Canis lupus familiaris: one gene and its partners. The protein of the gene in region 1 interacts with the protein of each later gene in a biochemical or structural test. Links are inferred from orthologs where the notes say so. Each region holds a gene or a part of one and is shown in the gene's direction. Other genes may lie near its edges.

Region 1 (4,473 bases):
GAATAGAGCAAGAACTCAAACCTGGATTTCACCCTCCACCCCAACTGCCTAATTCTGTGTTTCTACTCAAGTAGACCGGTTAAATCAGAGAACAAAGATTATTCTAGGAGAAGGGAAACAGGCTATGTGATGAGCACTTTAGTACTCTGCTATTCACGGGGCTGTACTCTGACCAGAATCATCTGTACCACCTGGGAGTTTGTTAAAACTGTGAAATCTCATGCTCCACCAAGGCCTACTACATCAAAATCTACATTCTGAACAAAATCCTTAGCTGATTCACAGAGATACTAGCTTGAGCAGGGTTTCACCAATTGCTCGAGTGACACTCCTCCTGACCACGTAAGCGGTATACATTAGCCCATTCATCACAGACCTACTTTAGCTTTTATTAGGTAATACTTTATTGTAACCAGAAATTGCTGCTTTTCTTTTTTTTTTAAACTATATTTTAAAAACAAGTTAATTTTCCTCTTTGATTCTTTAAAATATCCACTTCGTTAAGTCAGGAAATGTTCGAAAACTTTAAGCAGGTCAGCGCTTACCTTTAATCCTTTTAAAAATTACTGTCGTACCACCCCTTTGCCTGAAGGATACCCTAGAGAGCCAAACCACCTTCTCCATTATTTTACACCCGGCAGATTAAACAGGCCAATTCTGCTCTTCCCTTTCTGCCCGCCCCCGGATGTTTCAGTTAAGTAATACGTTTTTCTGACCCAAAACTCTGATCTTTTGAGTTTTGCAACTCTGTGGACCTAGAAGTTGAAACACGGCAAGAGGAAGAAGGAGGTGTTAAGTCTCTTCCCGTACCTCAATCCTGGCGGATGGTGACAGGCAAATAGCCTGCCCCTATTTCCCTACCCTCCACGTTAATCCATAGTTGAATCTGATGCCTAGACGACTGCGACTGGGAGGGGCTCTAGGAGGCCCCCTTTCCTCAGTACGGACCCTCTAGGTCAGAAACGCGCTGTGTCTCGGCACGTGAGAGCGCTCATCAGCGGTCCGCTCGGTTCTATTTACAACGAGTGTTGCACTTTGAGGGGTGCCTCCTCCCCCTGGTTAACGAGCCCGCACGGGCAGGCGAGTGCGGATATATTGCTCACCTGCTCCACCGAAATCTCGGAAGGCCCGGATCAACCTGGACTAAAGGTACCCGGTGATTAGCCCGTGGCACCTCCCGCCGCACATTCCTGATTGGGCGCGTGAGGGACGGACGCGCCGGCGCGCGCTCCAACCCGTCCGGGGAATTCCAGTTCCCCTCCCTCCCACCAGCAGAAGCATCCAGGGGCGGTGCTTCCCGACGACGGCCCGCCCCTACTCCAGCCGGTGCCTATTGCATCTCGCGAGAACTTGTAGATTCGGGGGGCGGGCCCCCAACAGGAAGAGCTCACGCAACTGCCCTTAAGTCATTGCAGGGCTATCGCTCCGGCTAGCCAGCCACGAGGTTCTCGCGAGATCCGCCGCCTCAATACCAAGTGAGGAAACTGGGGGACGCTGCTGGGAGGGGCGTGGGTCTCGACCGCGCAGCTGCCGCTTCCATTACCTTCCTCCCATGGTCTCCTTCCGGTTCTCGATGCTTCTCTGAGTCTGAGGGTTTCCGCCGCTCGTCCACCCTCCCCCCCCCCCCAGCCCATGACCCGCCTCCGGCCCCCGCCCTCCCAGTCCAACCTCCGATCTGTTTAGTAAGAAGGTGCTGTTCCGAAAAGAAGGAAGAGGGGGTAGCACAGATCAACTCGGTCCCGGACGTAGGAAGTAAACCGTCCCCCCGTCCCCCTTCGCTTCGTCCTGTGCTCGCGACGGCGGCGTTGGCGGACTGATACGCGGCGGTGAAGAGGCAGGAGGAGGGGGGAGGGGCGGAGCGTGGCAGCTGGCAGTAGTTCCGTCAGAGCGGACATCTTGTGGCTGTGTCGTGCGCGTGAGCCCCGTAGGGCCGGGGAGGCACCAGCTGCCGCGCGGGGAGGAGGCCGAGGCCGCAGCTTGAGGGAGGCCCCGGCCCCTCTGTACGCGTGGGTGTGGACGGCTAGGGGAAGGGAAGGGAGGCCGGCCCCCTGGCCGGCCGGGTAAGAGGGGAGATCCGGGCCTCGGGTGGCTGGAGTGACCAGCCTGTTGGGTGGGGTAGGGTGGGAAGGCTGGGGAAGCCGGGGCCTCGCCTGCCCAAGGGGGTGGGGGAATGGGCGCGTCCTCGCGCCCGAGCCGGAGCCTCAGGGGCAGCTCGGGCGCGTGGTGGCGGTGGCGGGGCGGGCGCGTGCGGGAGCGCGCTGGAAGGCGGAGTGTACGGTGGCGTCAGGGCCGACAGAATAGCTCTGGCTGCGGGGACGGCAACCTACAGCAAGTCTCTTTATTATTTCCTTCTCCTTCCGGGCCGCACCTTTGAGCAGAAACCGAAAGAACCCCGGCGTCAGTCCGGAGCCTCCAGTCTTCCCCCTCCCCCCTAGCCTTTCTTCGCCCTAGTGACGCCGGCGCAGCGCCGACTAGGCCCCGGCTCCTCCTCTGCTGGGCTCCGGACCCTGCCCCGCACCCACCCCTTTCTCCTACGCCTCTTCCTCTCCCACCCGGGTCTCTTTCGAGAGGCCGGGAAGTCAAACTTGTAGCCGCCCCCTCCGCTCTTCCCGTCACCCTCGCCGCCTCTCCGGGCCGAAGCACGGCATAGAGGCTGTTGGTGGCTTTGCCACGCCACCCCACCCACCCCGGATCGCGACCGTTTTAAGGGACCTGGATTCATCAGGGTCTCTCCGGGGCCTGTGCGAGTGCTGATCTGCTCCGTTTTTGCAAAAGGCGCCTGTGTCTGGCAGAGCCGGTGTGAGACGAAGAGAGACAATCCTTCCCTGCCGCCCGGGTAATCAAGAGTTTTGGCCGGACCTTTGAGCACACACCGAGAGAGTGAGGAGCCAGACGAAAAGCACAGACTATGGCGCTGAAACGGATTAATAAGGTAACCCACGGGGCTGAAGGGAAGGGGGTCGTGGGAGGAAACGAAGGCTCGGTCTCGGAGGAAAGCGTGGGGGTGGGGAGGAAGTATAATTAGGAAAACGTCTTTCCTTGGGTCACTTCTGTGGGGGGGGGGGGGATGGGAAAGAAAGGAGGCTTAAAGCTAGAGAACAGAACACTTGTGGCGAATGAGCTGTTTATCTTGAGTATGTTTCAGTTGGAGTCGGCCCAAATGAGGGGTGGGGGAGAGTGATTTTAGGCGCTTGGGTTTTGCTGCTAAAAAGAGTTTTTTAGTCTTGTTTGAGGGTCAGAATTGCCCAGAGACGCTCCCGCAGATGTCATGGCGCTCCCTAGTCTCGGTGCTTGAGAACTTTGGCTGTAAGATCAAGGTTTTCGGGTTTTCTAGGGGGAAGAGTCGTAGGAAACTCCTAGGGGAGGTGATAGAAATCTGGCGGGTCCTGAACCTAATTGGGGGTCGGTGTAGAAGTCTCTTGGCGGCTGAAGAGTAGTGACTGAACCTAGTTAAACTTCATCGACTCTGAGCAGGTTACACAAGAATAAGTGGGGCTGGGAAGAGATGGGCTGACACGATGTTACCACTTCCTATGTTTTGTAGTTGAGACTTCTCACTCGAATTTATAAGAGGGACGCTGCGAACTGGTGTAAAAGGCTTCTGGAAGCTCCCTTCTTTTGACTGGGGGGTGGGGGGGTGGGCGGTACGGGTGTGATGGCAGTAAGGGAAGGTTTGGTGTACCTATCTTTGTCTCGGCTGATTTTATAACACTTTCGGAGATGATTGGCTACTTGAAACGTGGTTTGATAGAAACTATTGATAGATAGAAGTTGAAAGAAATACGTTTTTTCGAGCCTGGGGGGGGCGCCGGGTGAGCGGAACCTTCACCTCCGGTGGTTTAGTCTCATTTTCTTGCTCTAACTTCTATCCCGCATTTTAAGATGGCGGCTGCTTTAACTGGTTCAGGCTTTTTCCGGCATCTCCTTTCGTCATTATATGAAATAATATTCTTTGTTAAATGTTAACTTTTACATCAGATTGTACACAGCTCTTGAGACGTCCTGCTGAAGACTCGATGTTCAAACTCTCAAACTGCATTTCCCTTTTTTGTAACTTGTGTATGTGTGGTGTATTTGGTTCTTGCACAATCGAGGAGGGTGGAGTATTTACAGCTAACTTGAAAAAAATGTCATGGAATAAATTCAGCCTTACTAAAAAACTAGGGAGACCGAGGGGGCTGTGGGTTAGAAACTTCGGTTTTCATGGGTTACTTTTTTTTAAAGGAGTTCTATATGGGAGGCATGGCAGGGACTTGGCTTGTACTAAGTAGACCTGATGCTGCCTAATTTTAATTATGTGTGACTTTGAGTTTATTTGAGCAAACTGGTATTCTGAAAGATGATGGTTCAGATTTTCGTGTAATGAAAGAGACTGAAATCTTGAATTTTGATTTAGTCCATCATTGCATTGTCATTGTGCGTTTATGTAAAATATACACTTAAATGTTTGTTTTGGAGAGGAAAAAACTTTTA
Region 2 (4,717 bases), on another chromosome or scaffold:
AGATGCTAGTGGGAATTCAGTGATTCTTCTATATTAGAGTGGGGCTCACCACTGTCCAGAACTACCTCAGAGTTGGGGCAGGGCTTTTCCTTCCACATTGCCACCCATTTGTGTGTCAAGGCTTGTTTCAGAGGTGCTCACGAATGGTGGCCATTGAAAAGTTGACTATTAACATCACGCAGGTGGGATGAGTTCAACAAAGTCTCTGGACACCCACTGGATGCCCCAGTAATGCATGGGAACAAGGACTGTCACTGAGAGAAGCCTGCTGGTCCCTCCATTAACCAGCATGTTCTGACTCATTCCTGCTTCTCTACTCAATGGTCTATCCACACGTGAGCCCTGACCTCTGTTCTAGGTCACACATCCCATTCTCTTCTGGCCTGAGGCTCCATCACCTACTGTGCTTGGGGATAGGCAATGGAGGTAAGTTTCTTTCCCTCTACCATTATGTCATAAAATCTAATCCCGACTTCCTTAGGGTGTTCCCCTTTAATTCTGAAGGCAGGAACTATTTTATTCTCTCTGTATTTCTGCTACAACAAACCTAATTCTCTTACAGAAGAGTGTAATCACTGATGAGGAACTGGTCCTAATCCTGCATGTCACCATTGTATGACACTGGTCAAATCACTTCACCCCTTGGTGCACCAATTTCCTCATCTGTAAAACTGGGAGACAAAATTGCCTCAGTTATGAGGTCCTGGGTATTTAAATGAGATCATGCATGGAGCACCTCGGTGGTTCAATCAGTGGAGTGTCCAACTCTTGATTTCAGCTCAGGCCATGATCTCATGGGTCATGAGATCCAGCCCCAAGTCAGGCTCTGCTCTCAGTGAGGAGTCTGCTTGAGGATTCTCTCCCTCTGCCCCTCCCCCCACTAGCATGCACCCTCTCTATCAAATAAATATATAAACATTTTTAAAACCCACTAAAAAAAAAAATAAAAAAATAAAACCCACTAAAATAAATAAGTGACATAATGTATGTAAAGTACTTAGCACAGTGGAGCGCTGGGTCCACGGGGTAAGCTCAACTTAAAAAACTAGACAGGCACATGAAACTGAAGACACAAAAGTCTATTGCTTTTCTTGAGTCTGAAACCAGAATTTTTTTTTAAAGATTTTATTTATTTATTCATGAGAGACAGAGAGAAAGAGAGAGAGGCAGAGACACAGGCAGAGGGAGAAGCAGGCTCCATGCAGGGAGCCTGATGTGGGACTCGATCCCAGGACTCCAGAATTACGCTGTGGGCCAAAGGCAGGCGCTAAACCGCTGAACCACCCAGGGATCCCCCTAAAACTAGAATTGATTAGAAAACTCTCTTTATCCAATCCTGACCTCAAAACTGGACTGTAAATATTTAGTCCAAATTATTATTATTATTATTATTTAAGATTTTATTTATTTATTCATGAGAGACACAGGGAGAGATAGAGGCAGAGACACAGGTAGAGGGAGAAGCAGGCTCCATGCAGGGAGTCTGAGGTGGGACTTAATCCCAGGTCTCCAGGATCAGGCCCTGGGCTAAAGGCGGCGCTAAACCGCTGAGCCACCCGAGCTGCCCTAGTCCAAATTATTAACACTGCTTTGAAATTCTCTCTTCTATTCCCTTCATCCTGTGACCTCTGACATGAGGTCATGACATGATGTCATAATTTACCTCCTGCTCTGATTTGTAAGAATTTCCCAAGTTGGTTCTTAGGCTCCCTCACTTTTTGCATCTAGGAGGTCACTGGCAGGATTCATAGTCTCACCTGTGAACACTCAAAGGTAGGGTTGCCATACATTTTGCTCTTGCTTTTACTTCCTTTGCCTAACATGAGTAATGATATTAGTGAATGGCTTCATAGACTCTTCTTCTATCTTTGCATCTTTAAGGAGCATGTTTCTGGTTTGGGTCTGGTCTGGACAGTATGGAAAATTATGAGTGATTATTTGCATCTCAAAAGTTGTCCCTCTGTCGCAGTCAGGTAAGCCCCTTCAATGTCCTGATTTTCTTCTCTCCTGAGTGCATGACCAGTTCTGTATTTTGTGGGGCTCAGTGTAGAATAAAAATAGAGCACTTCTTATTGGAAAATTAAGAACTTCAAGATAGGCATAGGAGAGCATTAGACTAAGAGCAGGGCCTTTCCAAGCCTGAGGCCTTCCTGAGAACAGGGCCCTGTGAGACTACACAGGTGACTTACCCATGAAGCCAATCCTGCCTGGAAGGCAGGGGTGGTAAAGACCTTTTGAATCCTGTAGGCTTGGATTAGAGGTTTACCCTTGAAAATTACTTTTCTTGGGGGAGAAGTATATGATATAGAGGACATAGGAGCTTATTAGATCATTAGGGCCACATTAGTTTGATGGTTTCCAGGAACCAGAACCAACATTTCAGCATCCCGCATAAGGACTGACTACCTAAAATTTTTTTATTGAGATATAATTCACATATCCCCAAATTCACCCTTTAAAAGTGTACAGCCCAGTGGTTTTTTTTTAAATTTTTATTTATTTACTTATGATAGTCACAGAGAGAGAGAGAGAGGCAGAGACACAGGCAGAGGGAGAAGCAGGCTCCATGCACCGGGAGCCCGATGTGGGATTCGATCCCGGGTCTCCAGGATCGCGCCCTGGGCCAAAGGCAGGCGCCAAACCGCTGCGCCACCCAGGGATCCCCAGCCCAGTGGTTTTTAGTATAGTCACAAAACTGTGCAACCTTCACCACTATAGGATTTTCATCCCCCAAAATTAACCCCATATCCATTAGTAGTCACTTCCCATGCACTCCTGTCCCTATGGATTTGCCTGTTCTGGACATTTCATATAACTGGAATTATACAATATGTGGCCTTTTGTGTCTGACTTTTTCACTTAGCATAATGTTAAGGTTCATCCGTATTGTAGCATTTATCAGTATTTCACTCCTTTTTTATGACAGAATAATATTTCATTGTAAGGATGTACCATATTTAGTTTATCAATTTATCTAATGATGGACATTTAGGTTGTTTCAACCTTTTGGCAATTGTGAATACTGCAGCTATAGTGAACATTTATGTATACTATATGCAAATAAATATGTACCAGTGTACAAATGTAGTTGTGCATATGTGTACAAGTTTTTGTGTGAACATATGTTTTCAACTCTCTTGGATATATACTTAGGAGTAGAATTTCTGGGTCTTACTGAAACTCTGTGTTTAACTTTTTTTTTTTTTTAAGATTTTATTTATTCATTCATGAGAGACACAAAGAGAGGCAGAGACATAGGCAGAGGGAGAAGCAGGCTCCATGCAGGAAGCCTGATGTGAGACTCGATCCCAGGACTATGGGATCACGCCCTGAACCAAAGGCAGACGCTCAACCACTGAGCCACCCAGGCATCCCAACCTGTCTTTTTATTATAGCCATCCTAGTGCGTGTGGTTTCTCATGGTGGTTTTGATTTGCATTTCCCCAATGACTAATGATGTTGAACATCTTTTCATATGCTTCTGAACCATTTGTATGTCTTCTTTGAAGAAATGTCTATTCAGATCCTTTGCCCATGCTACAAACATGGTTAAAACTTAAACACATTTAAAACTGGATTGTCTCTTTTATTGTTGAGTTACAGAAATTCTTTTTATATCCTGAATATTAGATAAATGATTTGCAAATACTCCTATTCTGTAGGTTGTCTTCTCACTCTCTTGATAGTGTACTTTGAAGCATAAACATTCTTTATTGTGTTGAGTCCAATTTATCTCTTTCTTTCTTTTGTTGCTTGTGCTTTTGGTTTTGTAACTAAAAAACTCTTGCCTGACCCAAGTTCATGAAGACTTATTCTCACATTTTCTTTTAAGAGTTTTACAGTTTTAGCTCTTACATCTCGATCTTTGATCAATTTTGAGTTACTTTATGCATATGGTGTGAGGTAGAGGGCATGTAATTTTAATTCCCTCTCAGCCTCTCAATAATCACCTACCATTTGGTAAATTCCCCAACAGCGGGGCAGCCCCGGTGGCGCAGCGGTTTAGCGCCGCCTGCAGCCCAGGGCGTGATCCTGGAGACCTCGGATCGAGTCCCACGTCGGGCTCCCTGTCTGTGCCTCCGCCTCTCTGTCTCTGTCTCTATGAATAAATAAATACATAAAAAAATCTTTAAAAAAATAAAATAAATTCCCGAACATCTCTACGTTTCAATGTCCTCATTAATAAAATGGGAATAATCATAAGGTTATGGTGAAGATAAAGAGAAAATGTATGTAAAGCACTTAGCAAAGCGCTTGAAGCGTCCTAACTGCTCAATAAGTGCGGTAATAACAATGGTGAATGCTCTCCTAGAGGAGGTACCACAGAAATGGGCAACCTGCTTAGTCGGCCCGGAGGAGCAGATCTGTCGTGGATAGACCATGGCCTCCCCTCACCTCTAAGGGTTGGCAAAACTTCTAATTCCCGAGCGCATCCCGGAACTACTGAAAAGAAGGAGCCCCGGGGGCACAGAAGCTGCGTTTGTATCAACTTGCCAGGGCCGCGTGTGGGGCGCGGTGACGGGACCGCGCCGGCAGCGCCGCCTTTGGCCTGCAGGGGGCGACCGAGGGACCGGGGCGGCCACGGCGCCTGCGCGAAGCCCACTCCTCGCCGGGCCGCCCCAGCCGGATCCGCCCGGCTCAGCTGACAGCTCCCTACGCGGAAGAGGCGGTGCGAGCCCTGGTTGAGCCGGGCGTCTCCGGGCCGGCCCGGCGGTGG
Region 3 (3,929 bases), on another chromosome or scaffold:
TCTTAAACTTCGTAAAATAGAATTTATTTTCCTAAGCTTTGTGAAAGGGATGATTTCTAGGAAAGTTGTGAATCAGCTTCTATCAGTTGAATACTTTTATCCCTTGTTTTACATTACAAAATGAGCAACTTGTTTTCTTAGGGAAAAAAATTGTCCAGTAAATCAAGTTGAGGCATTAAGAAAATGGTTAAGTACCAACTATAGTTACGTTGTTTGGTGTACCTAATGTCGAAGTGTGTATAGAACATCATCTATCGCTTCTGGGAATTTAAGTTCCCAGGTAGTTTATTTTTCCTTTGCAGCATTTCTCCCCCCACCCATTGGTCCTTCAGCTCTTACTTACTTTCTTGTTCTTTATGAACTTTTGTCTTTTCAAAACTTTCCCTAACTGTACTCTTAGAGTGTTGGAATTTACCTTTCTCATTTTGTCTTAAGTATTTAAAGGAATAGATTTTAACTTTAGCCTCATGCTACACCAGTAGGTGGCAGTGGTAACACAAAATTTTCTTTGGTCTGAAACGAATATATCAAATTTCTAAATGTCAGCTCATTGTGTCATAGATTCTGTATGTTGGATCAGCCTAATAGATACTATTTTTAACAAAGACATTTTATCTTCTGAAGGAAAAGAGAGAACATCAACTAACAATTTCTGTATGTGGAATATCCCTTGTTAGCTTTGAGAATGAAGTTTTAGTTCCGCTTTTGTTAGTGACTTTTCTTTTGATCAGAAGCTCATTAAATAATGAAGTGCTTGTCAACTTATCCTAATTTTAAAAAATAATGTAGGAATTTGTTCATTTATAATAAGAATCGTGAGTTGAAATTTTCATATAGAATTCTTCACTGAACTCTTGTTCTGTTTCAGAATGTTACAAAAGAAAGACAGATGAAGTTACTACAGCAACAGAATGACATCACAGGCCTTTCCCGACAGGTGAAACATGTTATGAACTTTACAAACTGGGCAATTGCGAGTGGCAGCAGCACAGCACTACTGTACAGCAAGCGACTGGTGAGACACATAGTATATTTATGGTTTTAAATTGACTTGACATTAATATACTTATATTCAGTTAACTGCACTTTTTTAAAGTATAGATTTTGTAGTTTTGCATATGTAATCACCACTATGTTAAGATACAGAAAATTTCCATCACCCACAAAAGCTTCCTTGTTCCCTTTACTCCTGACCCTAGGCAACCATTAGTCTGATTTCTTTTATTTTCTAGAATCTCATATGAATGGAACCAGACAGTATTTATTTTCCTGAAAATACCTGGTATCATAATGCAGTTTATCACCAGAAATATCAGAAGTTCAAGCATGTGCATTTGATTGCTGATATAGATAGTCTTTTAATCGTGTACTGTCTCATCTGAGATTGACATTGTGGGGCTTGATGAGCTTTTAATGTCTTTATCATGTGTGATTTCTCAAGTGATACTTAAATTTTTAAGACTAATGTGAATTTTTTCCTTTAAGATTACTTTTCAATTGCGCCATATTTTGAAAGCACGGTGTGATCCTGTGCCTGCTGCTAATGGAGCAATTCGTTTCCATTGTGATCCCACCTTCTGGGCAAAGAATGTAGTCAATTTAGGTGAGAAATAATTAGTTTCATGAATATAACTGGGAACACTGAATTAGGAGAAAGTATCTAAAGCAAAGCTTAGATACTTAAAATTTAAATTCACTCTTACATGTAAACTTCTTGGAAAATATGTTCCTCATCGGAAACTCACTTGAGCTGTGTTCATAACATCTTTAAGAATGTTGAAAGTCTACTAATTTTAGATTTAAAAAATGTTTATCATTGCTAACTACCCCCCCATCTTTTAAAATTGATAATGACTGTTTCATGTCGAAAAGTTAGCAAATGGGCCTTTATTCTCTTGAAAGAGTTTATTAGATGCTTGGTAATTTGTATATTAGTTATACTAATTATCCACTGGAGGAGGACCTACGGGATGCTGATGTGTCTGAAAGTCAAATACTGAGGAATGTTTGAAAGCTAAGACTAGCTCTTTTCCACACGAAAGAGGAATGGACTTTACTCTGTTGCTCCTCAGTGTGGACCTGTGGACCACAGGTGAAAGTTACAGGGAGTCAAACAGCTCAATTTAAAACAAAGACCAAAAACTTCCCAATGATTAGAACTGTCTACACATTGAGTAAAGTCACTTTCAAAATAGTCAAGTCCTCACCATTGGAAGTTGTAAAAGCAGAGGTGGATAGATTTCTGTAAAAAAATAATTTTTGTGTATTTTAAAATTTTACTATAGCCTTAGATCAGGCATTAGCAAACTGTTTTTGTATGGCATGGCAGCTAAGTTTTTTGTTTTTGTTTTTTTTTTTTCACATTTTAAAGAGTTATAAAAACAAATGAAAAAAAAAAAAAAGAATATGTGACAGATCTTATGTAGCCTACAAAGCCTAAATTATCTGACTCATCAAAGGAAATGTTTGCCAATTCTGCCTTACATCAGACCTTCCTAAAATTTGTTTTCTATTCCTAGAAAACAAGAGCTCTGTGAGAGGCAAGGAAAATTGTCATTCTAGGGACATAAGTGGTTAAAACATTCCACGTTTCCACAGAAGACAGTTCTGGAGCAGTGTCATGCTCTCCCCTGCAGATTTTGGCAATTCAAAGGCAATGGCATCAGCATTAGCAATCTTAGGTTTCCTTGAATCTAGGAGAATGGATTTTGACTGACTAGATGGGCCTCTTCTGATAATATCTCTTTCATATCTTTAATTTTTTATGCATTTGTGTAAATAAAGAATAAGGGCAGGCGATATATTATTCTGAATAATCAAAAGTCAATTATTTGGCTTTGGACTGTTTCTGATCTTCATTATCTTTAAACCTAGCTTCTATCTCTGCTGAACTGTCAAAAGCTTTGAGTGCTGATAATTGTCAAAGGAAAGAGGAAAAGATAGTGACTAATCCACAAAGTAGATAATTTAATCGTTTATATGCAAATTATTCTCATTTTTTAAATCCTTCAGGTAATCTAGTAATAGAGAGTAAGCCAGCTCCTGGTTATACTCCTAATGTTGTAGTTGGGCAAGTTCCTCCAGGGACAAACCACATTAGTAAAACCCCTGGACAGATTAACTTAGCACAGCTTCGACTCCAGCACATGCAACAACAAGTATATGCACAGAAACATCAACAGTTGCAGCAGATGAGGATGCAGCAACCACCTGCACCTGTATCAACAACAACAACAACAACACAGCAGCACCCTAGACAAGCAGCCCCGCAGATGTTACAGCAACAGGTGAGTATTATATCATGCATGACATTATTGATAAAGATTATGAAGGCCTCAAGATTATACTTCTGTCCTGTACGGATGAATTTACACATTTCAAAGTTACTAGCAAGGACAAAGCTCAAATGTTAGAGTTTAAATGTTTCCTCTGGGTTTGGCAGGGATTTGGGGGAGATGGGAGGAAGGGCATTAAATACTTACATGGGAAACAAACTTGACTCTGTACTTACTATAGAGGAGCACAAATTTTTATCATATTTTTTGTTTTCCACATGTGGTTTTGGGCCAGAGAACTAGATAGTTTTTGCCTAAGATCTGGTAAGTTCTTATTTATTTAAGACAGTGATAGCGGGGAGGGTGAGAGGGAATCTGGAGTAGATTCAGTGCTGAGCACGGAGCCCCCCCCCCCCCCCCCCCCCACGGGGCTTGATCCCATGACCCTGAGATCACAACCTTAGCCTCTTAGAAATTGGGAGTCGGACGCTTAACTGACTGAACCACGCAGGCACCTTGATCTGATAAGTTCTTCAGGCATTTGCTCAAATCATTTCCATCCCTGTATCTTTCCTGATCTCCCCTTCCCCATCCAAATCAAAACCATTAATCCAGGTTTGGATAAATTAATGTTAATAAGTCTTACACACACAC
Region 4 (3,929 bases), on another chromosome or scaffold:
AGGAAGAAGCAGGCTCCATGCAGGGAGCCCAATGCAGGACTCAATCTTGGGACTCCAGGATCATGCCCAGATGCTGAACCGCTGAGCCACTCAGGGGCCCCCAGGTTTTCTATTAATGTCTTTTTACTGTTCCAGAATCCAATCCAGATACCCCATTGAACCTCTGGTTCAACTTGGCTGATTCAAGAACTATGTATATAAAGAACCATGTGTAACCTCTTCTTTATTCTCCCTTTCCAACAGTGTTCTCTGATTTTAAGGACTTGATTGGCCAGATTTTAATGGAAGTGCTAATGATGTCTACGCAGACTAGAGATGAAAATCCATTTGCCAGTCTGACAGCCACATCACAGCCAATTGCAGCAGCAGCTCGGTCACCAGACAGGAATCTAATGCTCACTACTGGCTCTAACCCAGGAACAAGCCCCATGTTCTGTGGTGTGGGTTCCTTTGGTGCCAGCTCTTTCTCTAGGTTAGTGCGGTTCCTTTTGCACATCTATTTGGTAGTAAAACAGCCATGAATTATGTAAGAGAAGGGACTGCTGGCTCACAGGCCTTTGTCAGGTTGTGGTATGTGTTCTTTCTGGGTGGGTGCCTCTAGTCATGGCTGAAGGTCTTGTCTTTTCCAGATTGGTTTGTTTGGCTTCCCATGGTTTGGCTTTCAGTAAATTTTAGAAACAAATGACTGTATACAGTACATTATTCTTTGGAAAGATGGCTTTCTCATACTGTAAATGCAGCCTCTAGATCACTATGGTAATTAGATTATAACTAGTTTGATGAGTATCTGAAAGATTTGTACACTTGAATGCTTAGAGATACGAAGTGTCATTGTGCTGTTCTTTAAAAGCTTGATATTTTCCGTTTTAGATATTTACCTCAAGTTTTTCTTCATTTTTCTCTTCTTTCCTCTCTTTCTCCACTGATTTAGCCTCTATGAAACTAGCCCAGCTCCCAGTACAAGTTTCTGGAGCTCGGTGCCAGTGATGAGTCCATCCTTTGCCTCCCCCCCTGCCCGTGTGGCTGGCCAGATGGTTGTGCCCTCCATTTCCCTCAGCCCGCATGGTGGCATGGCCTCTGGAACTGCCACAGGAAGCCAGCCCTCCTCTCCACGGTATCGCCCCTACACTGTCACCCACCCGTGGGGGTCTTCGACTTCTCCTACCCCGCGATCCCCAGGCATCTCCATTCTGTCCAGCTCGCCCAGCCTCCCTGCCCTTGCTAGTAGCCCTCAAGCGGTTCCTGCCAGCTCTCTCAGACAGAGACCCAGCAGCCTGGGGCCCCCTTCAGTGGCCGCCTCACCCAGTGCCGTGAGCAGACGTCCCTCATCCCTAAGGATCTCTCCTAGGTATTTATTCAGCAGGAGAGCTGGGTGTGAGTTTGCAGTGCAGGGAGAGGCGATTAACTCTGTTTGGAAGAACCTGGTGTGTGACGCTGACCTCAGTTACATGTGTTTTTCTGTTTGGGTTATTAACCTGTGTGTCTAACTAGTTTGGTAGGCTTGTGCCCCGAGTCCATGCTTCTGCCAGGCTTCGATAACAGTAGAACGTGTGGGTGTTCCGCTGTGTGTCCCTTACTCTGTTCTTACCCCTCACTCTTCCTCCTTCCTGTACAAAAAAAAAAAAAAAAGTCACTTCATTTTGTGAAATCTAGTTCATGTGTCATTCTTTATTACAAATGAATTCCAGAGGCTGTGGGCAGTTTGTATTTGAGAGTTGGAGCTCACAGGAGCACTCTTCAGCTCTTTGTATTGTTGTCAATCAGAGTCAAAATGCAGTCAGCCCAAAGGGTGGTGGGAGTGGGTCTGGGCCCTTGTCCCTTACCTCTGATCACTGGGGATGGACCAGTGTTTGTGCCTTGACCCTTTGATTTGAGCCTCTTAGAAAGAAGCAGTAGCAGAATTCTACTAACCCAGGGCCGCCCCTGCCTCCCCTCTGCAATGTACCTGTGCATTTTTGTCATTGAGGTGAATTATTTTTCTGCATGTCAATAATTAGAACTTTTAGCATAACATTTAATTAAAAAGAGACAGCAGTTACAAAAGCTTTTCCACCTCTTGTTTTTCCTTTGTTCCCTGATGACCTTTTTTGCTTTTGTTGTGGTAGTATGTACGACAATCCTTTCTCCTTCCTCTTCCTCGCACTTTCTGGCGACAGTAGTGATGAAGATGAAGAAGATGATGATGATGATGATGATGGTGATGATGAAGGTGGTGGTGGTGGTGATGAGTTTTCTTGTGTCCAGTTTGGGTCCAGGTATCAGAGGAATGGAGTCTTACCCCTGCATGTGCATAGTGCATAGGTGCTTAGGAACTAACTTTTATAAGCCCTCATTTAGGGGCGTGCTTGGAATCTAAACAGGATAGGGTCAGATGGGACAGCCTGGAGAATCAAGATGTGGGGAACTTGCATGTACCGAGGTATTAGGACTTTATCATGGGGAAAAGTGGCATATAGGAAAATCTTCATTGTTGTTGCCTGGTAAGTTTGGAGGAAAACTTATGTGTAATCATTTGTCAGAAACACAAACAACAAATTAAAGATAAGTCATCAAGCTCACCCACCCTAAGATCTGAAATGAGGGACCCTTCATTTATCTGTTGCAAGTGTCCTTGCGAGCTGCCAGATATGAGCAACATGTGAGCAACATGTACTCTGTGGGGCATGTTTTCTTATGTACAGTTGCATGGATTGCTGCTACTTAGGAATGGCAGAGGGACTGGGATCATGCGTGCATATGTGTGTCTTTTTTCCCCCTATCCTCCAGCTCAGTCAGACAATCTGTTGAACAGTGTATGGGGCCATCCTGTCTGTTATTCTGCTTTTACTTCTAACCTTAAATTTCACTGATTACCTCCTTGACCTCAGTGAAGCTAGACCCCTGTTTAGATGGCCTTTGGAATGATAGTAGAGGCTAAAACTTAGTTCATGACGCTGCTGAATGTTTCTCCCTGAAACCCATCTGAAAAAAGACTGCTTGGGTTTTCTAGGTGACTTTGGGCAAGAAAATTTAATAGCACCTTCTATCTGAACCTCTGACTCAGTGTCTTACGATTTTGCTCTTAAATCGAAGTTTCCACTGGACTCATTTGGTATTTGTGCCCAGCAGCTCTGTTCAAAAATAACTGCAGGCTATAAATAGAGACGGCAGTAGGAGTTAGGTACACTTCATTAAATTTGACAGTGTTCAGAAGAATCATTAGAGTATATAAAGAGAGAAAGGAATGTTGGTATAGGGTTGAATATTGATTCAGGAAGGTTGATATTTGTATTAGGTTGAACATTATATTACTGTTTCTCAAGTAAATTTCCCAAAGGTAGAAGTGTCTTTTTCATGTAGGTAAAATCCTACTGCACAATTGCAGTAATGCAGCAGGCATCCTTTAGGAATCAATTTCCATAAATGATAAAAGTGCTTTGTTATCTGTTTTACTGTAAATTATGAGAGAAAGGCTTTCTCTCCCTGGCCTATTTAATTCTAGCTCTCTCACAAAGATACCAGATTGTGTGCTGCTTTTTACTAGCACTAGACTCCTAGCATCTCAGGCTTGTCTCTGATCTAGATGCTATAGCTACACGGAGAAATAACTGTGTATAATAGCTCCAACTACTTACTGAGCATCGTGTGCCAGATCCTGTGCCAGCACTCTGTATACGTTATCCCTTTATCATCACAGCAGCCCTCTCAGTTACTGTAAGGAACCTGGGGGGACAGGAGGTCAGTCACATAACAGTATGTGGCAGGGCCTGAGTCCAGAACTTACCTGCTTCATCACCACACTGTGCTCCCAATGGGACCCGTGTTGTTCTCGTTCCTTACTGGTTATTTCACTGCCGAGTGTTTATGCATGTACCCTGTTCCTTGGCAAGAAAGTACCAGTATTTTACTCGGTAATTACAAAATTCCATTCAGTTGGCAGGTCCTTTGCT
Region 5 (3,835 bases), on another chromosome or scaffold:
GTTACTCAATAATATCAGTAAATATCATTTTTAAAAAGCCACGAGTCACATCCAAAAAGATATTTTTGTCACTTTATTAGGCTGTGATCTCATCCCACAGAGTTACTCTGTGTTTTTAGGAATTCTGTAAGCCACCCAGAAACACAAATGTAACTAACAGATATATGTAAATTTAATAATGGATCATTAATACCATAATTAAATTCTGATAACATATTTTTTAAGATAGTTCTGTTACTTTTTTTCCTAGGGATGTACCTAAATGCTGTTTTTCTCTTATTCAGGCTGTTCTAATGATGGATTCAGAAAAAAGAATAAGATTACTTCAGTTTGTCACTGGTACATCTCGAGTGCCTATGAATGGATTTGCTGAACTCTATGGTAAGAATTTGCTGCAGATCATTAAAAAATGGAGTGATGCCACTTGTCTTTTTTATTGCTGATTAGTTGTCAAGCTTCTTTCATTTATACAAACACTGGGCTTAATAAAAAAGAATTAAGGGTTTTAAATGATTTACTGAGATACACTGAAGTAGGCCAGAATATATGTACACCTTCTAATCAGATACCAAAGGATAAAACATGAAATGCCTCGAGTTACTTTCCATTCTTGAATTTTAAATTTGATTCCTGCTACATATTCCATCACAGAAAGAGCATTGTCTGTGGGGTGATGGTTTAGGGCAACATGTAACGTCCCACAGAATGTTAGTAAGTATTCAGCAGGAAACAGAGTTCCATAGTAGAATACATTTGAGGAAAATACATTCAGAACCTTTACTATGAAAAAAAGGGGTTTCAAAACTTATTTGATCATGGAAGATGTATATGTGTGTGCGCGCGCACGTGCGCGCATGCGTGTGGTGTGTGTGTATGATGTTTGTGTATGTGCAGGACTAGGGACAAGACTACATATCTTTCAATATTCAGAATAGTTACTATTAATGGAGCTTTCTATAAAGTGAAATTCTGCATATCCTATCAAACTGTTTTCTAGTGGATATATTTAGAGGTGTGTTTTGAAAGAAACAAACAAACCTGCTGTTTCTGATATGGATCAACTTTTCTCAAATCAGCTATTTGTTGGAATGACATTTACTTGCTTTTAAAGATACTAAGAGGAATACATCTTTCAGGGAAGGTGTAGCTCAGGTTGGAGCCCTGCTCAGAGCAACAGCAAAGTTTAGAATTGTTCTGGAAACTACAAGTCAGAACTGCAGCCTCAGTAGTTGCTGAGCTGAATTTTTCATGCAAAGAGAAAGCTGCTGCTGTCTGACGGGATCACCAGCCCCGTCCATCTCCTTGGCAAACCTGATCTCCTTTTTTTTTTTTTTTTTATTTTTTATTTATTTATGATAGTCACACACAGAGAGAGAGAGGCAGAGACACAGGCAGAGGGAGAAGCAGGCTCCATGCACCGGGAGCCCGACGTGGGACTCGATCCCAGGTCTCCAGGATCGCGCCCTGGGCCAAAGGCAGGCGCCAAACCGCTGCGCCACCCAGGGATCCCAAACCTGATCTCCTTAAGTTCCATGTGTATCTGTTTGCAGCACCTGTCAAGCAGCTGTTGCTTCCTCACCTAGAGTCACCATGCTCAGTGAGAAGAATGAGATAGGAGCTGTGCCCTAATAAATGTGCCCCTGCTTGCCCAACTGGATTTCTTTGCATTTGTCTTTTCAGTGGTTTCCTGTGACTTCCTCTCCTTTTCTTCTCCCATATTTTAGCCAGTTACAGTAGGGAAAGATCAAGGCAGGCTGAACACCCCTTTCCATGTCTAGCTCCACGTCCTCCTTTTATGCAGTCCGGGCCTACAGCCATCCATTGGTTTCATGAATTGTTTGGAATTTGGGGGAAATATCCCACACATGGGGCCAGACTTGGTAGTATTAGAATATAATTCAAATTCTTATGCATTTTCAAAAAGAAGTCACTTCAAGCTGTTAATATTATAATACAGTATTATCTATTCAATAAAAGGGTGTCTTAGTTGACTTAAAGGGAGTGTTCACAATGGATTATTTAGGTGAGAGAGTCAAGAGGCAGGGAAATATGTACGATCCCATATTATGGAAAACCATGACAAGAATACTGAAATTTTAACTGAACGTAATTATGATGTGTGATGTGTGAAAAACAATGCTTTTTGAGAAAACTGTAATATCAAGAATATCCAGTATATTTAGTGCTGCTTCTGGCAGTTATACTCACACACATAATTAGGTATGACTATAAGACATGGGGAAAAGTATAGAAGGTTCTGCATTGGGTTGTCAGCACTGATTACCTGAGTGATTGGAGGATGTTGAGACTGGAGGGAAGGGAGAACTAAGTGCAAACTTCAAAGAAAAAAGTTTCTGAAAAAAAGAAAAGAAAAGAAAGTTTCTGAAAGTGTCCATAATAAAAGAAAAATGCAGCATGGATCACATGCTTACCTTCACACAAAATTCCATTTATACACACACACAATGATCCATGATAGAAGGTTTACTCAGATTTGAGAGTGGACTTTGAGGTGATTTTTACTCCCTTCATTATTTTTTCCCTATTGCTTTAATTTCCTTGCACTGAGACTAGATAATCAGAAAAAAATAAAGCTATTTTCAGCAGGACTGGAAAAAAAAAAGAAAATATTTATTTTCTCTGTGTACCTGTGAAGGAGATGGTCATGTGGAGACACAGGGCTAGCACACAGCAAAAGTCCTAGAGCTCTGGTACCCTAGAGGCCCAGTGATATGGTGACCATGCGTGAGTTGCTAGGAAGGAAGCTTCATCTCGTGGCTGGAAAATGAAGCCATCAAGGACACCACAGCCTTCTGTGAGTTTAAAGAAACTAGATTAGTAGGTTTAAGATTAGTATGTATGTTCATTAGTAGTATGTTCACTATTAGTAGTATGTTCATAGATCAGTATGTTTAAGTTCTACACTGGAAAAAATGAGTTGTGAAATTTTAGGGATTCCTATAAAGAATAAATGAGACCAAAGCAACTCTTTTCTTTGCAGGCTCAAATGGACCACAGTCATTTACAGTTGAACAGTGGGGTACCCCGGAAAAGCTGCCAAGAGCCCATACATGGTAAGCAGTTTTTTCGACCCTTAGAGAACACGTTTTCAGAGAGTGAAGCTCCTCTAACAGTCTGGGTACAGAAGGTCTAGCCTGCTCTGTGTCAGTGGCAGCTATGGAGGAGGGGGAGAAGAAGGCAGAAACAATGCAGATCAGGTATGTCTTTGCCTGGCAGGCCTGGGCTTGGAGACCAGGAAACTGAACAGTGGAGAGGCCCATCTCACCCATGGACCATGTGTGGCCCACCATCACATGAATGATGGGTCATCCCAAGAGAAGCTAGAACATACCCTTTGGGAGGTTAAATTAACAGAGGAACCCAGACATTTGGAGGTCAAAGTGGGAGTGAGAGAGGACAGCACCAAGACGTCATGGGATGAGTCCATGCCTAGAGCCCAGTACTGTATCTTCCTTCTCCTCTGGTGATAAAATGCCTTCTAGTATTGTTGAACACATCACGAATAGCATTATCATTGGCCACCATGGCACTTGCTTTGTCAATGTCTGTCGTAACCAGGTCCTCTCTGTTCTTTCAGCTTTAATCGCTTGGACTTGCCACCCTATGAATCATTTGAAGAATTATGGGATAAACTGCAGATGGCAATTGAGAACACTCAAGGCTTTGATGGCGTTGATTAGATTCCAAGTAACAACCTAGAGTGTTTCACTGCCACTTTTGTCTAAGCAAAATCTTGACTTAAAATTTTCCAGGGAACTACTACAACTTGGCCTTTGTTTCTTCCCAGATAGTGGAGAAAAACCCGATAAAAGTA
Region 6 (4,470 bases), on another chromosome or scaffold:
TCTGCCCAATCCTTGAGAGTATCGCAAGAGAGTGCTTTCTCAGGCCTGCCTCTTCCTCCTTCAGGACACTTCTCTGGTTCTCCTGTCTTTCTTACAAAGATTTAAGTCCACTCTTAGAATTGCATAAAACACTCTTACTGGGATCCCTGGGTGGCTCAGCGTTTTAGCACCTGCCTTCGGCCCAGGGCTTGACCCTGGAGACCCAGGATCGAGTCCCACGTCGGGCTCCCTGCATGGAGCCTGCTCCTTCCTCTGCCTGTGTCTCTGCCTCTCTCTCTGTGTGTGTCTCTCATCAATCAATAAATAAAATCTTTTTTTTATTTTTTATTTTTTTAATAAATAAAATCTTAAAAAAAAAAAACAACAACACTCTTACTGTGCTGGTCCCTAACTTGCCTGTTGTTTTCCCCTTTACCCCCCTCCCTGCACTATAAGCTGCTGCAACGAAACTACTTTACCCCTGCTGTGCTTTTGCTTCTGTTATTCTCTCAGGCCAGATCCTCCTCCTACCTCCCCGGTTAAACTCCTGGCCGCCAATCGACACGCAGAAGACACAACAACACCTTTCTAGATAAGAGGCCAGCACTGCCTCGCTGCTGCATTCGGTCCGTGCAGTTACTTCCATTCCTGCTTGTCTTGGGTTACATTGCGATGCATTTTATACACTGTGTAGCACCTGGTCTGTGTCATGCATTATAAAGCGTTTCCACGATTGACGTTCTAGGTCACCCCGCCGCTGAAGCAGGGCGCGTTCCGTGGCCTCGGTCAAGCCCCTTTCCCTCTGGAGCCTCAGACACGCGAGGGCCGCGTCCTGTGGCTCCGCGAAGAAGGCAGAGGGAATGGCTGAGCCCTCGCACGGCGCTCGGTTAAGGAAAGCCCCGACTGTTTACATCGCTTAGGGTCCTGGATAGGCAGGTGCCTACTGCGATGAGGTCAGGAAACCCTCCTCTGAGATGACGTCACTGTCAGCGACTTCAGAGCCCCCGCTCGCTCATCCGTACGGGTGCACGGAAGCAGAACTACTCAGAAAGGGGGGGGGGGAGTGGGGTGGGGGTTCACCTGTCCCAGGTCACAGGTTGCGCATGAAACCGATTTCCATTTAGCAGCTCGGGCAACGGCAATTTTAGCTCAACAGCCGCGGACTTCCCCGAAGGACTCCGGGGCGGGCGGGCGGGCGGGCAGCGTCTGTGGCGCGGCTGGATTCAGCGAGCGGGGCTGGACCCCTCCCGCCTGCGGCAAAACCCGCCACCCGGCCCGGGGGCCTTCTCAGGAGCACGCCCCGCCCCCCGCCCCGCCCTCGGGGGCGGCCGCGGCCGGAACCGGGCCGGCGATTCCCGCGGCGCCGCGCTCCCGGGGCCAGGCCGGGCCGTGGGGTCTCCCCGCTCGCCACGCAGGGGCGGCGGGGCGGGGCGCGGTGACGCCAAGAGGAGTGACGCGACGACGCAGCGCGACGCGGTGACGCACGCCCCTTTGTTGGCTCAGTAGCGGTAGCAGCGGCCGTGGAGGTGGCGCTGGGGACTGTTTTCTCTCGGAGGCCGGAGCGGAGCCGCGTCTGACTGAGGCGGGCGGCGAGCAGCCCCCTCGCTCCGTCCCTCCCGCCTCCGCGCCCTCCCCGCCGCCGCCGCCGCCGCCGCCCGCCGCCCGCCGCCCGCCGCCCGCCGCCGCGCCCGGGGAGGAGCCGCGGCCCGCGGGGCCGGAGCCAGGCCTGCGTCCGGACCTCAGCCGGAGCCGGAGCGAGAGCCGGGGCCTCGGCGTCCCCGCCCTCTCCCCGCCTCAGGGCCGCGTCCGCCGGGCCCTCGCGCGTCGCGCCATGGACTCGGACGAGGGCTACAACTACGAGTTCGACGAGGACGAGGAGTGCAGCGAGGAGGACAGCGGCGCCGAGGAGGAGGAGGACGAGGACGACGATGAGCCGGACGACGACAACCTGGACCTGGGCGAGGTGGAGCTGGTGGAGCCCGGGCTGGGCGTCGGCGGGGAGCGGGACGGACTGCTGTGCGGGGAGACGGGCGGCGGCGGCGGCAGCGCGCTGGGGCCCGGCGGCGGCGGCGGCGGCGGCGGCGGCGGCGGCGGCGGGCCGGGGCACGAGCAGGAGGAGGACTACCGCTACGAGGTGCTCACGGCCGAGCAGATTCTGCAGCACATGGTGGAATGTATCCGGGAGGTCAACGAGGTCATCCAGGTGAGGGTGCCCGCCGCGCTGGCTTGACCCGACCGGGGAGCGGACCCGGCGGCCCGCGGGGCAGGCCCGGGCCTGGTGCGCAGCCCAGCCCGCCGCCTCCCGGGCCTGTCTCCCCCGCCGCCTCTGCTGGGCACGGAGGGTGTCGAAAGCAGACATTCGCCGGTTCGCCGGGCGTGGGGAGGTGCGCTGGGGGCGGCGCTTTCCGGGTCCTGCGATGGCGGAGGCCTCGGGCCGCCCAGCGCTCGTCCTGCGGGCTGGAGGGCGATCCCTGCGGGTCCCCGGGCCCGGTGTCCTTCCCCCGGCCGGAGGAGCGCCCACAGGGGCGGGGCGGGCCGGGCCGGGCCGGGCCGGGCCGGGCCGGGCCGGAGGGCGGGGGTGGAGGAGAGCAGGAAAACGCGGCCCCTACGGGGGTTACCCCGGCCTTCCAAGTCTCGCTTGAGCACTTTTGGAAGGGGTTGGAGTAGGCCTAAGAGCCGCTTGGTGTACGGTTGCCCCAAGTGGGCACCAGTTAATAAAGAAATGGATCTGCTTGGCAGTCTTAAGTGCCTACTTAAAGGTGGGGGAAGGGAACTGTTTCTCGGAAGAGGTGCTGATGGGCCTTCTTTTACGATGGTGAGGCTTCTGCTCTTCTCTCTCTCTCTCTCTCTCTTTTTTTAAATGCCTTCGCTGTTTGTTTGGGACCTAATGCTACTTTTTCCAGGGGTAGCGTGTCACTTACTCGAAGCCGTCGGGAGAGTCCCTGCAGATTGCATACCCAGCCTTGCGGCTAAAACAAAACGCAGCGTACTGTCTGATATTAGGCTCTATTGTGAGTTAGAAAGTAGGGGCTTTCTGCTTCTGAACTCCTTTCTTGATAATTTTTTTTTTTTTTCGAATTTCTTGGAGAGTTAGGCTTGGTCCAAGTTGATGACCACAACTCACGTAACATCGTGAGTCCGGTTTTGCATTTCTCAGCTTGAGGAAGTCCAAAGTTTACATTTGGTTGGGGGGATTGGGGGAGGAATCCAGTTATGATGAGGGATACAACTGTAGAATGAAAATGACGTCTTGATTCAGTGCAACTTTTAGAAAACACTAGTTACATGTGAGGAAACTATATACAGAAGCTAGTTACTATTAGCTTCTTGTATGTCAGTCATTCCTTTTTTTTTTTTTTCTTAAAAATCAGTTGACTAATATTCACTGGCAAATTGGCAGTAGTATGTCACTGCCTACTTGTTCAGTTGGGATGATTAACAGATTTTTACAGTATTGTCTAGTAAGCAGCACTTCCAATTGTGCCATCTATTTAGGCTCCTCTGAATAATAGTAAAAAAAAAAAAAAAGTAAATGGTAAATAATAGTAAAAAAAAAAAAAACCTGTGATATATAGTGGTACTAGTAGACCGTGGACGTCTCAAACTTTCATATGGATACTGCAGTCTGAGGAGGAAATTGAAGGGACATAGAAGGAAGATTAAGTTTATTGTTCTTTTTTTTTGGATTCTAAAAGTATGACAGTTCTTAAGCCACTAAGTTGAGACTTTTTTTTGAGGAAACTTTATTAAAAGAATTGAGAGTAAACCTTGAATTCTCTTTCCGTTTATTTACCACTACAGTATGTAAAATCTGATCTTTTCACACTTACCTAGTTTTTTGACGTTAATTAGGTTTTAAAAATTCGTGGATAATGAATTTATTTGACTTACTGTTTGTTTTCATGTAGTAAATCTCATCCAACTTTCTCAGCTCTTAGGTGTATCTTAAGCACTGAGGCTAAACCTTAAAATTCCTTATGTCACTTCTGGAACGGAGATGTAGCTAATGCATATGACATCATTCTTTCTTTGTTAGTTTAGAGGAGAGAGAATAAATGCAGATGAACTGAACTATTTAAGAAACACAAAATACCAGGGGTTTATTTAGGTGTCCATGCCTGATTTTTGAAAACTGTCTTTTTTTCTAGCTGACTTCTTGTTAAGGATGCTCTTAAATGGAATTCCTGAATATATAAATATTTATTCCTTGTTAAGTTTCCTATTTCGAAGTATCAGTAAATCCAAGAATAGGATCTATCCCAGGTCACTTTTTTCCAAATGGTGTGCTTACTAGATCTAAACTAGGCCTTGGTTATGGTGTGGCTTTTTTATGTGCGTAGATTTAAGCTTCAAAAGTGACACTGAAAAAAAAAAGTGGCACTGGTAATACATGCATACTGTAAGAAAAAACTGACTAGGCAAGAAAAAAAAAAAAACGAGATCGACACCAAGAGAGATACACAAAATTTGAGCTGTAGTTTTCTTTCTAGA
Region 7 (4,434 bases), on another chromosome or scaffold:
ACTCTCTCCTTCACAAATCTTCTCCCAGATCTTTTCCCTGACCTCGCCCTCAGCTAAGGTCCCTCCTTATCATTTCCCTGAGGTTCAGTTGCATCATCTTGTGTCTCTGAGTAGCATTGGGCAACACCGATCATTGCCTTCTTGTCGAAACACTTTGTCTCTTGGGCCTCTGAGATACCATACTCTCCTGGTTTTCCTCCGCAGCATCCTCTAGATTCCAAATGTTTAAGTGACCCTGAAGTCTGTCCTCAGCTGTCCTCTCCCCTCTATCTACACTCATTACCTAGGTGTGAGTGTAGCTAGTCTGATGGCTTCATACGTTATCTCTATCTCAGTGATTCCTAGTTTAAATCCCTAGCCTGAGTGATCCTGTCTTTCTGAAGCTGCAGACTCATATATCCAAATGCTGACTGACGTCTCTAATTTGAAGGTGTCGTTGGCAATTTCACACGTCCAAAACACATTTACTTCTCCCTACTCTGACCAAAATCTGTTCTTCCCAATCTCCCCCCATATTTATGACTGAAACCCCATTCATCCAGTTGCACGTTCCAAAAACCTTGCAGTTACCCTTTCCCTCTCACCTCACATCCAATCCATCTGCAAATCTCTCCGTTCTACTTGAAAAAAAAAAAAAATCCCTACTCTGATCATTCCCCCCTCCCCCTCCTTCCTGACCATACTAGTTAAGGTCACCATTGGGTATTATTTAGACTCCTATAATCTCTTCCTAACTAGCATTCCTCTGATTAAGACCTCCTTATGTCATTTCGTTTTCTGCTCAAACGTCCCTCTTTAGAAGACTTCATGACCGCATTGGCATCCCCATCACTCTCTACCCCTTCCTCTGCTCTATTTTTCTTGTGTTGTTCCCCCCCCAACCCTTCCTGCCTGAGCCAGTATTTTAGTGCGTTTGTTATATATCTATCCACTAAAAGATTAACTTGGGGAGAACAGGGGCCCTCTATATCGTTGTATGCCCAATTCCTACAACAGTGCCTGGCACACAGGAAGCTCTTTGAAAAATAGGTGTTGGATGAATGACCTGCCAAAGGCAAGGGGTGCAAATAAATGCATATCCAATAGCTTTCCATGGGCATCTGCTCCCCCCTACCCCACATTCCCCCGCCTCCACTCTTTTCATCCCTAGGGAGACAGGCGACACTTCCTGAGGTTGGGGGAAGGGCCCCTCAGTTTCCTTCGTCCTCCCACCTCGTGGGGGAGTCAAGACTCAGTGGGCGGTGAGCGGCCAGACGTCCCTCTCTATGGTCTTACTCTCCAGGCCCCTCCTCCCTAGCACCCGGCGTGCCTCTATGGTTCTTCCTGTCATTAGTCGGGAGGGGGCGCTGTGCGCAGGCGCGGGGTGAAGTCGCGGCGGGGCCGGAAGGAGTGCAGCGGCGGCCTCGGCGGCGGCGGCAACGAAGCTGTCGGCGGCCGCTTCTGGTGACTAAAAGCTGTGGCGACAGAAGCCGCCGAGCCCGCTTGGCGAGCCGGCGAGCTGAGTGGCGAGTAAGTGTCGGCCGCGGGGCGCGCCCAGCTCCTCGGCAGGCCGCGTGAGGCGAGTGGCGTCTCAGCCCAGCGCCTCCATTAAGCCCCAGGGTGGGGGCGGGGGCGGGGGCGGGGGCCTCGGCTGTGAGGGGCGGCGGGGCCGCGGAGTCGGGGGCGCGGGCCTGGCCCGGCGGCCTCCCGCAGGCGAGCGGGCCCGGAGCCGCGCGGGGCCCCGCCGAGGGCCGGGCGGCGCGAGCAGCGGGGCTGGCGGTGAGGCGGGAGCCACAAAGGCGGCGGCGGCGGCTGGCGGACGCTCCCCCGCGCCCGCCACTTCGGGAAGTTTCGCGGGCCGGTCCCTCGGCCTGCTGCGCGAGGGCGAACGCGCCGAAAGACCCGAGTTTCCCGGCGGCACCTCGCGGGAGGCGGCGTCGGTGGAGCCGAGCGCGGCCTGGAGCGCGCGGGCGGTGATGCACTGGGACTCTGAACTCCGGCGTCCCCCTTCACCCCCCCACCCCCCCGGGGCCCAGGGGCGTCGGGCCTCAGTCCCCAACCCTCCCGACTCGGTTCAGGAGCGCCGTCTTGTCGGGAAAGCCGGCGGCTCCCACCCAGCCCTCGTGAAGACATGCAAGTGCGTCAAAACCCTCTGCAGCGCGGGGAAGGCGAACCCGACAAATGTGCCTGGAGCGCCGCGCAGTGAACGAGACCGGCGTTCCCGCGTGGGACGTGGCTGGAGACTGCGTGGAACGACGGTCTCAAAACTTTGGGCCACTTCAGTCCTGTGCGAGACCCCCCCCCCCCCGTCTCGCCCACCGGCGCCCCCCCCCCCCCCCCCCCCCCCCCCCAGTGCCTGCGTTGTGATAAGTGCCCGGGTATGGCTTGTCCATCCAAGTCACTTTGCTAATGCAAAGAGAAGATTTTTTTTTACCCTGCAGGGAACTGGGAGAAGACAGGGAAGATTTTAGGACCGACCTCAATTTTAGCACGCTTGCCTGAAAAAAGACTGCCAAGAAACAGCCTTGCTTTGTTCTATTTGTTGTATAGGTAATTTATTGGGGCTCGGGGTACAGACTGGTGTGAAACTGAGGAAATCGCTGGAGAACTGGAGCCAGATTTGGGATCTCCCCCCTTAAACCTAAATAGAGGCTAGCGGGCAGCAAGTTTTTTTTTTTTTTTTTTTTTTTTTTTAAACCTGCCTTCCAGCCCGAATGGAGAAATCTAATAAAGGAAGTTGAAATTTGAGTCAAGAAGACTGAAAGTTTATGAAATAGGGTCGATGAGAGCACCTGAGTTTGCTGACCCTGATGGCTTCTATTTAATGAGTAGTTGCTATATTCTAGGCTGTGTTAAGGTCTTTTCAGACCTCATAACTAATTCTCATAGCTGGCAATATTTTACTTTTCTTGTCAGTAAGACAAACATGATGCTAGTAACTATGCTAGGTATTGTTCTAAGCATTTTTTAATGTAATAACTCCTCTAATCTTCAGTAATGGGGGTTCCGTTATTATTTTAAAAGGAAGAAAACGAGGTACTGAAAAATAAGTAGTCAAAAAACTCCCACAGAGCTGGGACTTGAATTCAGTTTGGTTCCATAGCTCATGCTCCTCCTACTAATTACTTTGCCATCCCTGTAGATGATATTTATTCGAAAAGTTCTTCTGGAGTATTTACTTTGTGCCAAGCAGTATGTCCTGCGGCTAATGGAATGAATAAGATGTCGGGTCCTCCATCCTTGGAACTTGTTTTAGCAGATAGCTATTTAATGTAGCTTTCTAAGTATTTGTAGATTATTATTGTGCCAAGTACTTTGAAAGATTGAGATATATTGTGTGAGTGAACAATGGGGATGGTTAGGTGTTTCTTTTTTTTTTTTCTTTTTTTTTTTTAAGATTTATTTATTTATGATAGACATAGAGAGAGAGGCAGGTTCCATGCTGGGAGCCCGACGCACGAGACTCGATCCTGGGACTCCAGGATCGCGCCCTGGGCCAAAGGCAGGCGCTAAACTGCTGAGCCACCCAGGGATCCTCCTGGTTAGGTATTTTTGAGGAAGTGATATTTAAGATAAGAAACTCAAAGATGAATGGAGTTAATTTGGTCAGAAAGAGGCAGTGAAAAATAATCAGCCAGCCAGAGGTAAGAGGAAGGAGCATGGCCCGTTCAAGGCCCTGAAAGAATGGTGAATGGAGGAGAGGTGTATGGTGAGGCTAGCTATGTCAGCAATGGTCCTACGAGGCAGCGTTTCACAGGCCACGAAATTTTGGTTCTATGACGAAATCTTATGATTTAAAAGAAACAGCACCTCAGTGCCAAATGAAAATAAGTGGGAGAGTAGAACCTATAGGCACTTTTGGGGTGGCAGGGGCAGCTTATCATGAATTCACAGAGGATTCACCTCTAAAAAGATTGAAAACCATGATCCCCCCCTTGTGAATAAGGATGTGCTTGCTTATTTCAGTTTCTGAACCAATTTTCGGTTGACATTTGAGGAAAATCATAAGGTTATATGTTAAACTCTTTAACCTACCTAGTGAAGATTCTGAGTTTAATTTTTGGGTTAAAACCCTTCCCATTGTGGGCAGCCCGGGTGGCTCAGCAGTTTAGTGCCGCCTTCAGCCCAGGGTGTGATCCTGGAGACCTGTGCCTATCTCTCTCTCTCTCCTCTCTCTCTCTCTCTCTCTCTCTCTCTCTCTTTCTCTCTTTCTCTCGAATAAATAAACACAATCTTTAAAAAAAAAAAAAAACTTTCCCATTGTAAAAAGACACTGATAAGAGGATTTTTAGGATTCTTGTAAACTCTGATAACACTCCAGACTAATTGCCCACATAATTATATCTGTAATTATGGATGCTATTTTACCTTTCATTTTGTCTGCATATTAAAATATACACACATTACGTTTTCTTACTCTGAACTCATCACCTGCTTTGTTCTTTCTTAATAGTA

Evidence for each region.
Region 2: the proteins of UBE2D3 (region 1) and RNF14 form a complex in vitro, tested with the Homo sapiens proteins (2 studies listed by BioGRID, with this or other methods). The link is inferred for Canis lupus familiaris from reciprocal best matches to the Homo sapiens genes UBE2D3 and RNF14.
Region 3: the proteins of UBE2D3 (region 1) and TRIM33 form a complex in vitro, tested with the Homo sapiens proteins (2 studies listed by BioGRID). The link is inferred for Canis lupus familiaris from reciprocal best matches to the Homo sapiens genes UBE2D3 and TRIM33.
Region 4: the proteins of UBE2D3 (region 1) and UBE4B form a complex in vitro, tested with the Homo sapiens proteins (5 studies listed by BioGRID and IntAct, with this or other methods). The link is inferred for Canis lupus familiaris from reciprocal best matches to the Homo sapiens genes UBE2D3 and UBE4B.
Region 5: the proteins of UBE2D3 (region 1) and NEDD4 form a complex in vitro, tested with the Homo sapiens proteins (17 studies listed by BioGRID and IntAct, with this or other methods). The link is inferred for Canis lupus familiaris from reciprocal best matches to the Homo sapiens genes UBE2D3 and NEDD4.
Region 6: the proteins of UBE2D3 (region 1) and ARIH1 form a complex in vitro, tested with the Homo sapiens proteins (2 studies listed by BioGRID). The link is inferred for Canis lupus familiaris from reciprocal best matches to the Homo sapiens genes UBE2D3 and ARIH1.
Region 7: the proteins of UBE2D3 (region 1) and RNF216 form a complex in vitro, tested with the Homo sapiens proteins (2 studies listed by BioGRID). The link is inferred for Canis lupus familiaris from reciprocal best matches to the Homo sapiens genes UBE2D3 and RNF216.

The regions. Positions count from the first base shown.
Region 1 is NC_049253.1:15,659,479-15,663,951, forward strand, and holds the start of UBE2D3 (ubiquitin-conjugating enzyme E2 D3), read left to right. Parts: upstream 1-1,312; 5' UTR 1,313-1,475; exon of another isoform or gene 1,476-1,514; intron 1,515-1,624; exon of another isoform or gene 1,625-1,834; intron 1,835-1,842; exon of another isoform or gene 1,843-2,060; intron 2,061-2,775; 5' UTR 2,776-2,908; coding exon 2,909-2,932; intron 2,933-3,662; exon of another isoform or gene 3,663-4,059; intron 4,060-4,473. UniProt on the Homo sapiens protein: Accepts ubiquitin from the E1 complex and catalyzes its covalent attachment to other proteins. In vitro catalyzes 'Lys-11'-, as well as 'Lys-48'-linked polyubiquitination.
Region 2 is NC_049223.1:36,055,116-36,059,832, forward strand, and holds the start of RNF14 (E3 ubiquitin-protein ligase RNF14), read left to right. Parts: upstream 1-1,669; 5' UTR 1,670-1,773; intron 1,774-1,881; exon of another isoform or gene 1,882-1,973; intron 1,974-4,622; exon of another isoform or gene 4,623-4,717. UniProt on the Homo sapiens protein: E3 ubiquitin-protein ligase that plays a key role in the RNF14-RNF25 translation quality control pathway, a pathway that takes place when a ribosome has stalled during translation, and which promotes ubiquitination and degradation of translation factors on stalled ribosomes.
Region 3 is NC_049238.1:52,669,768-52,673,696, reverse strand, and holds part of TRIM33 (E3 ubiquitin-protein ligase TRIM33), read left to right. Parts: intron 1-868; coding exon 869-1,015; intron 1,016-1,485; coding exon 1,486-1,603; intron 1,604-3,012; coding exon 3,013-3,287; intron 3,288-3,929. UniProt on the Homo sapiens protein: Acts as an E3 ubiquitin-protein ligase. Promotes SMAD4 ubiquitination, nuclear exclusion and degradation via the ubiquitin proteasome pathway. According to PubMed:16751102, does not promote a decrease in the level of endogenous SMAD4.
Region 4 is NC_049226.1:63,773,259-63,777,187, forward strand, and holds part of UBE4B (ubiquitin conjugation factor E4 B), read left to right. Parts: intron 1-243; coding exon 244-472; intron 473-931; coding exon 932-1,348; intron 1,349-1,993; exon of another isoform or gene 1,994-2,105; coding exon 2,106-2,255; exon of another isoform or gene 2,256-2,280; intron 2,281-3,614; exon of another isoform or gene 3,615-3,702; intron 3,703-3,929. UniProt on the Homo sapiens protein: Ubiquitin-protein ligase that probably functions as an E3 ligase in conjunction with specific E1 and E2 ligases. May also function as an E4 ligase mediating the assembly of polyubiquitin chains on substrates ubiquitinated by another E3 ubiquitin ligase.
Region 5 is NC_049251.1:21,436,371-21,440,205, reverse strand, and holds part of NEDD4 (E3 ubiquitin-protein ligase NEDD4), read left to right. Parts: intron 1-284; coding exon 285-381; intron 382-3,001; coding exon 3,002-3,074; intron 3,075-3,598; coding exon 3,599-3,701; 3' UTR 3,702-3,835. UniProt on the Homo sapiens protein: E3 ubiquitin-protein ligase which accepts ubiquitin from an E2 ubiquitin-conjugating enzyme in the form of a thioester and then directly transfers the ubiquitin to targeted substrates. Specifically ubiquitinates 'Lys-63' in target proteins.
Region 6 is NC_049251.1:36,366,485-36,370,954, forward strand, and holds the start of ARIH1 (E3 ubiquitin-protein ligase ARIH1), read left to right. Parts: upstream 1-1,486; 5' UTR 1,487-1,810; coding exon 1,811-2,182; intron 2,183-4,470. UniProt on the Homo sapiens protein: E3 ubiquitin-protein ligase, which catalyzes ubiquitination of target proteins together with ubiquitin-conjugating enzyme E2 UBE2L3.
Region 7 is NC_049227.1:12,342,627-12,347,060, forward strand, and holds the start of RNF216 (E3 ubiquitin-protein ligase RNF216), read left to right. Parts: upstream 1-1,347; 5' UTR 1,348-1,509; intron 1,510-4,434.